Linked DNA regions of Drosophila melanogaster. Each later gene encodes a partner of the first gene's protein in a complex. Each region holds a gene or a part of one and is shown in the gene's direction. Other genes may lie near its edges.

Region 1 (3,758 bases):
ATTGTTAATCGCTCTGCCTAATCTATTTACAGCGAACTTTTGATCCATGCACCCATGTCAAGCAAGTTTCTTCCGCACACACTGGAAATGTTGAGAAATAGATAATTTAATATTATTTTTTTGTTAACAATGAAATAGTTTTGTTATGTGATGGTTTATTTGGATATAAATTAAAAACAGAGCATTAATTCTTTACTTTAAATTGCTTGGCAACTTGACAATGATCATATACAAATGCAAAATGATGTGTAACAAAAATGAATGTAACTTCTTATAGTTTTCAAATTTAAATTTGTTTATTTGATTTATCCGTGTTGGGGTTCAGCCAATATTGCTTGTTTTTAACATTTTCAAGCTTCCCAGTCGATTTTAGATGCCATATTAGATGGCAAAACTAGTTTTTGGTTAATACTATAGTGCACGAAATTAATCCTGATCGGCTGCACTAACGAATTGTCCATTTTAAGGCAAAAAGTGTCTGTATAATTTTAACGTTGCGCCCTTTGTATATGTATGTACGTCATCTGTGTGCATGTATGTGCGCATATATTTCGTTAGAAGTGTGTGCGTGTGTTTTATTTTTTTATATGTAATGAAATTGCGGCTATACGGAGATTTTTCCGTTTGTTATGCCTTAGTTTTAATTATTGTTTTTGTTTTCCTCACGACTTTTCTCACTTGCCAGCAGTAATTTTAAACAAATCAACAATGTAACAGCAGTAACAACAACAAATACGAACGACCTGCAAAGTTGGTTATATTTTTTTCTCACGCACGCATACACATACACACAAACACACACAAATGCACACTAGCACATCGGAGAAGTAGAAAAATGACTTTTGTTCCTATTTAAGTAACTAATTGCGGGTATTTTACCTATTTATGGTACGGATTTAGATCTGTACTAGAGCACTATCTTTTGCATAATGCCGATTTCCGCCTCGTTAATGGCTCACTAAATTAAATATTGAATGGGGGAAATGTGAATGCCAAACACACAAACAAAGCAGCTACAAAATGATTCTTTTCTAGCCAACTATGCCGGTCCCTTTCTGGCGCACGCGTTTTCCCGTATCGGGCGCAGCGCCCGTTTCTCTCTCACACTCACTATGCAGAAAAGCTGCGTTTAATTGAATGAAATTGTTTAAGTTACTACAACGCAAACACTAGTCACTAATCACACCAACTAGTTAATGTTTTTTCGTGGCCAGTTTTAAACGCAAAACGCTCGAATTTCTGGCTGCCCTGCCAAGTCCGATGGGGTTGTTGATGTCGCATCCGATACATCGGATAGGAGCGGATGTATTTGCGCAGTCACTGCTCCCGCACCAGGGCTGCCAACTATCGATTGAACGATCAGGTCAAGAAGTAGCTAGAAATAAGCTGGCAAATATGAAGCGTTACGTACGTAGCGGTTATTTGATTTTAAGTTATGTTACATTTACGTACATATATAATATAATTGTATAACGTGTGCATACAAAATAATTGTTATAAAAATATACAAGCTCTAAGACCAAAATGCACTATAAATAATTTCTAAATGTTTAGACTCGTAACTTATGCAAATACGTAACATACGTATCATTTTACATGTTCAGATAAAAAAATATAGCTTTTATTTGGTCAAATACATTTTGCAAGATATTAACTAACGAAATACTTAAAAACCGCTAAAACAAAAAGCAAGACAAAAATCAAGCCAATATGGTATTCCACCCACTAAAACGGCGAACAAGTTTTCACATCCAATGAGCGATAACTTTGCACCCACAATCGATAGTTCCGCAGCTGCTGTGTGTGTTGGGCCGGCAAATTGTTAAACTGGCTGAAATTGTTAATAATGTTTTAAGAAATTGCGACACCAATTAAACCACCGCAATGTTTTCGATGTGCAAGCAGACGCACTCCGCCACGGCGGTGGAGTTTTCGATAGCATGCCGCTTCTTTAACAATCTGGATGAGAACCTGGTGGTGGCGGGCGCCAATGTACTAAAGGTGTACCGGATAGCGCCCAACGTGGAGGCGAGCCAGCGTCAAAAGCTGAATCCCAGCGAGATGCGTCTGGCGCCCAAAATGCGACTGGAATGCCTAGCCACATATACGCTCTACGGCAATGTGATGTCGCTGCAGTGCGTCTCATTGGCGGGTGCCATGCGGGATGCGCTGTTGATTAGTTTCAAGGACGCGAAATTGTCCGTACTGCAGCACGATCCCGATACGTTTGCGCTGAAAACTCTCTCACTTCACTATTTCGAGGAAGATGACATACGTGGTGGTTGGACGGGTCGCTATTTTGTGCCCACAGTTCGCGTAGATCCCGATTCCAGGTGTGCCGTCATGTTGGTCTACGGCAAACGGCTGGTGGTACTGCCCTTTCGCAAGGACAACAGCCTGGACGAGATCGAGCTAGCGGATGTGAAGCCAATTAAAAAGGCTCCGACGGCAATGGTCAGCAGGACGCCTATTATGGCATCGTACCTGATAGCACTGCGAGATCTTGATGAGAAGATCGACAATGTTCTGGACATACAATTCCTGCACGGCTACTACGAACCAACGCTGCTTATACTCTACGAACCGGTGCGAACCTGTCCGGGAAGAATAAAGGTGCGCTCCGATACTTGCGTTTTGGTGGCCATTTCGTTGAACATTCAACAGCGAGTGCATCCGATTATTTGGACCGTGAACAGTCTACCTTTTGACTGCCTACAAGTGGGTGTTTGAAAATGCCACTTACCTTTTAGGAGTCACAACGTTTAATGTGTCATTTTTCCCTTGCAGGTTTACCCGATTCAGAAGCCAATTGGGGGTTGTCTGGTAATGACAGTCAATGCTGTAATCTATCTCAATCAGAGTGTCCCTCCATATGGCGTCAGTTTAAACAGTTCAGCGGATAACAGCACCGCATTTCCACTGAAGCCACAGGATGGCGTTCGTATTAGTTTGGATTGTGCTAACTTTGCATTTATTGATGTCGACAAGCTGGTAATCTCGCTTCGCACTGGAGATCTATACGTGCTTACGCTTTGCGTTGACTCAATGAGAACGGTTAGGAACTTCCATTTCCACAAAGCAGCCGCCAGTGTGCTAACTAGTTGTATCTGCGTTCTGCACTCCGAATACATATTTTTGGGATCACGTCTCGGAAATTCCTTATTGCTGCACTTTACAGAGGAGGACCAGAGCACGGTCATTACGTTAGATGAGGTGGAACAGCAATCGGAGCAGCAGCAAAGGAATCTGCAGGACGAGGATCAGAATTTGGAGGAAATTTTTGATGTAGATCAATTGGAAATGGCACCGACCCAAGCAAAATCGCGTCGTATTGAGGATGAGGAACTAGAGGTTTGTAAACAATATACTTAAAGTTTTGAATTGTTTTTAAATTTGATCGTTTTTACAGGTGTATGGTTCTGGAGCTAAGGCATCGGTTCTTCAGCTGCGAAAATTCATATTTGAGGTGTGCGACAGTCTAATGAATGTAGCACCAATCAACTACATGTGCGCCGGAGAAAGAGTGGAATTCGAAGAGGATGGCGTTACGTTGCGACCACATGCGGAATCTCTGCAAGATCTAAAGATAGAACTAGTCGCTGCCACGGGTCACAGCAAAAACGGAGCTCTGTCCGTATTTGTAAACTGCATTAATCCTCAAATCATAACAAGCTTTGAGTTAGATGGGTGCCTCGATGTGTGGACTGTGTTTGATGATGCCACTAAGAAGTCTTCGCGAAATGATCAGCATGATTTCA
Region 2 (3,758 bases), on another chromosome or scaffold:
CTTCTGGTGCATTTTCAGCCATCTCTGTGCAATTGAAGTCGTTTCAATAACGTAAATGTTTTAAATGTTTTGGGTTTCTTTTTGGTATATACATAAGTTGTTATGTTTGCTGTTTGCCTAAAATTATTAACTGCTGCTTGAGATTAGAATCAATGGCTGTTGGGTTTTGTCTTATATAGTACATTTTATTGCTATCACAAGTTAATCATACACATATACCGTCGGAAAAAACAAACTAAAATTCAATTGTCTGTAATGGAGTTTAATGCAAGCTCTATCTTTGGCCAAATCGCGGTGGCGGGTCACTAGTTGAAGGCGTAGAGCAGCAGCAAGATCACACAGAAGCCAATAACTGCTCCCAGGATCAGCGAATCGCGTCGCTTTTTAATGTTGATGCGCTGAATGAGACTGTGCATATACAACAAATAATTGGATAAGTAAATATGCATAAATTGAATTGAGAACTCGTCTGTCTCACCTGGAAATCAGTGGGAATCGATTGGAGATATCGTTAAAGCGGGTCTGCAGCCGCTTGAATGCTTGTCGCTGGGCGTGAAGATGGTCACGCGTCTCAATCGCGATATTTATCTGATCGTTGACCAAGTGACTGGCGCTGTTGAGGTGCCCGCTCTCCTTCAGGTACATTTCTCGCCGGTTTAGGCCCGAGATGGATGGACTGCCGGAGCTGGTGGCCAACCCTGAGCCACGAAGCAGCTCCTCTCGCTCGATTCGCATTGTGTGATTGGCGCAGATCTTATTGAACTCCTGGCGATACCCCTGCAGGATCTCTCGATGCCTCTGCAGTGTGTGCATGGCGGCTGCTCCAGAGGCGGGCAAATCGGACATGGACTCATTTAGCGAGGATAGCTGCAATTAAGAAGGATGAAATAGAAATGAAATCCTTCTATTCTATAGAAATTCTATAGATATGGGAATTGCCTAAAAAACGTAGATAACTTAACAAGCAAAACAATTTGAACATTTTGTGCTTCAGTCGGTGACTCATTCATTACTTGGAATTATCTATTAAAGTATTTATCAAATGGAATTCATTTAGCGAATTCAAAGAGGAATTCTTAAACATTTTCTTTTAAAGAATTTAGCAAAGATCAGAGCATAAAAAAAACTCGAATAATAAAGTATAATATATATACAGATTCATAAAAAATTGGAAAGTGATGGAATGTTTTCAATATATATAAGTTAATCGTGGCAGTTTTTCAATTGTGTGCTCAATTCTGCCAATTAAATTATGATTTTTGGGAAGGCTTAGTGGGAAATTAGTAATTCATAGTAGCACAAAGCCGGTGGCACAGAAATTTGCTTAATAAATAAATAAGGAATCCGCACTACATTGTTTCGGGTTTAATCCCTGCACCATCGCATGGCATTGGGTCACATATCGCACCTTCTCCAGCATTTGCTCGATCTCCTCCGACAGCGAATCGAAGACGTGCTCGCCCAGGAGCGGCGATGTGTCAACGCCTCCTAGTCCTCCACTTCCACCTCCTCCACTGCCAGCTCCGATTTTGCTGAATGCCACCAGCTTCAGGTCGATCTCGTTTTCCAGGCTCCGCGCCTGCTTCCTGAGCACTGTGCGGGAGGTCGAGAGGAGAGATAGCTTATATGGAAGGTAACCATTAAGTCCCACTGCTCACCATCGTAGCTGGATCCTCCCATTTGTCAAAAATAGTTTTCCTTTATTTGTTCGACTTTCGTGTGGCAATCGGTGTGACCAGGTCAGGCGGGGCCCAAGTGGAATGAGTTGAGAGTATCGGGAAAGATTAATAGCCAGATTTAATCTAGGCCCTACTTAATGAACAAATGTTTACGAGAAAATTAAATTGTCCTAATAACTTAATGTTAATGTAAAAGGAAAAAGTACAATGTTCTTTTCCAGCCCTTGTGTGAACAGGTCCATACCGGCAGTCATCAAACTTTGGTCACACTGCCGTGCACAGCGTTTTGTTGCCGGCGATTTGTAAAAAAGTTTGTTATTGATTACATTATTTTAGACATCATGACGCAGGCAACAGGTGATGCACGCATGCCAGACGAGGAAAGCGACCTGCTGCAGATCAAGCCACTGTAAGGAATCTTGATTTAAACCAGATAGAAGCTCAAGGGTAACGCTTATATTTCAGTGGTGCTGGCCAGGAAGTGGGACGCTCCTGCATCATGTTGGAATTTAAGGGCAAGAAGATAATGCTGGACTGCGGAATCCATCCGGGATTGTCCGGCATGGATGCCCTGCCCTACGTAGATCTAATAGAGGCGGATGAGATTGATCTGCTGTTTATATCACAGTAAGTACTGCGGCGATTAAATGGGCATTGAACTTTTAATGGTGAATGCTTATATTTATCAGTTTCCACTTGGATCACTGCGGTGCCTTGCCTTGGTTTCTCATGAAGACCAGCTTTAAAGGCCGCTGCTTTATGACCCATGCCACGAAAGCCATTTACCGATGGATGCTGTCCGATTACATCAAGATCAGTAACATATCCACCGAACAGATGCTATACACGGAAGCCGATCTGGAGGCCTCCATGGAGAAGATCGAGACGATCAATTTCCACGAGGAGCGCGATGTGATGGGCGTACGCTTTTGTGCCTATATTGCTGGTCATGTTTTGGGTGCCGCCATGTTCATGATCGAGATTGCTGGCATCAAGATCTTGTATACTGGTGACTTTTCGCGCCAGGAGGATCGACATTTGATGGCTGCCGAAGTGCCACCGATGAAGCCGGATGTTCTTATCACAGAGTCCACCTACGGCACTCACATTCACGAGAAAAGAGAGGATCGAGAGAATCGATTTACCTCGCTGGTGCAGAAAATTGTTCAGCAAGGCGGGAGATGCTTAATTCCAGTATTTGCTTTGGGCCGTGCCCAAGAACTGCTACTTATTCTGGATGAATTCTGGTCGCAGAACCCGGATCTGCACGAGATTCCCATCTACTATGCCTCCTCTTTGGCCAAGAAGTGCATGGCTGTCTACCAGACGTACATCAATGCTATGAACGATCGAATTCGACGACAGATAGCTGTGAACAATCCCTTCGTTTTCCGCCACATTTCCAACCTGAAGGGTATCGATCACTTCGAGGATATCGGACCCTGCGTAATCATGGCGTCGCCGGGTATGATGCAGTCGGGATTGTCGCGAGAGCTCTTCGAGAGCTGGTGCACAGATCCCAAGAACGGAGTGATTATAGCCGGTTACTGCGTGGAGGGCACTTTGGCCAAAGCCGTTCTCTCCGAGCCGGAGGAGATCACCACACTGTCGGGCCAGAAGCTGCCGCTCAACATGTCCGTCGACTACATATCGTTTTCGGCTCACACGGACTACCAGCAGACCAGTGAATTCATCCGCCTACTAAAGCCAACGCATGTCGTGCTCGTCCACGGCGAGCAGAACGAGATGTCGCGTCTGAAGTTGGCCCTGCAGCGGGAATACGAAGCAGATGCAAGCACGGATATAAAATTCTACAACCCGCGAAACACACATGCCGTGGATCTTTATTTCCGTGGCGAGAAAACCGCCAAGGTGATGGGAAGCCTCGCAGCCAAGAACTCGGAGGTGGGAAGCAAACTCTCAGGTGTTCTGGTTAAGCGCGACTTTAAGTACCACCTCTTGGCTCCTTCTGATCTGGGCAGTAAGTAATAGTTAGTTAGTTTCTTTGTAAAAATGTCGATTCATTTAAATAATTCCCACAGAATACACGGATATGAGCATGTCTGTTGTAACCCAACG

Evidence for each region. Proteins that work in one complex are often made in the same cells at the same time.
Region 2: Cpsf160 (region 1) and Cpsf73 share a complex: the UniProt entries of both Drosophila melanogaster proteins name them as parts of the cleavage and polyadenylation specificity factor (CPSF) complex.

The regions. Positions count from the first base shown.
Region 1 is NT_033778.4:14,501,491-14,505,248, reverse strand, and holds the start of Cpsf160 (cleavage and polyadenylation specificity factor 160), read left to right. Parts: upstream 1-1,760; 5' UTR 1,761-1,884; coding exon 1,885-2,718; intron 2,719-2,787; coding exon 2,788-3,351; intron 3,352-3,409; coding exon 3,410-3,758. Other genes in the region: Asx (additional sex combs), read right to left, coding at 1-2. UniProt on the Drosophila melanogaster protein: Component of the cleavage and polyadenylation specificity factor (CPSF) complex that plays a key role in pre-mRNA 3'-end formation, recognizing the AAUAAA signal sequence and interacting with poly(A) polymerase and other factors to bring about cleavage and poly(A) addition.
Region 2 is NT_033777.3:18,661,718-18,665,475, reverse strand, and holds the start of Cpsf73 (cleavage and polyadenylation specificity factor 73), read left to right. Parts: upstream 1-1,923; 5' UTR 1,924-2,020; coding exon 2,021-2,088; intron 2,089-2,144; coding exon 2,145-2,306; intron 2,307-2,368; coding exon 2,369-3,660; intron 3,661-3,721; coding exon 3,722-3,758. Other genes in the region: CG31231 (uncharacterized protein), read right to left, coding at 1-22; Gos28 (golgi SNARE, 28 kDa), read right to left, coding at 306-408, 479-867, 1,409-1,593, 1,659-1,680. UniProt on the Drosophila melanogaster protein: Component of the cleavage and polyadenylation specificity factor (CPSF) complex that plays a key role in pre-mRNA 3'-end formation, recognizing the AAUAAA signal sequence and interacting with poly(A) polymerase and other factors to bring about cleavage and poly(A) addition.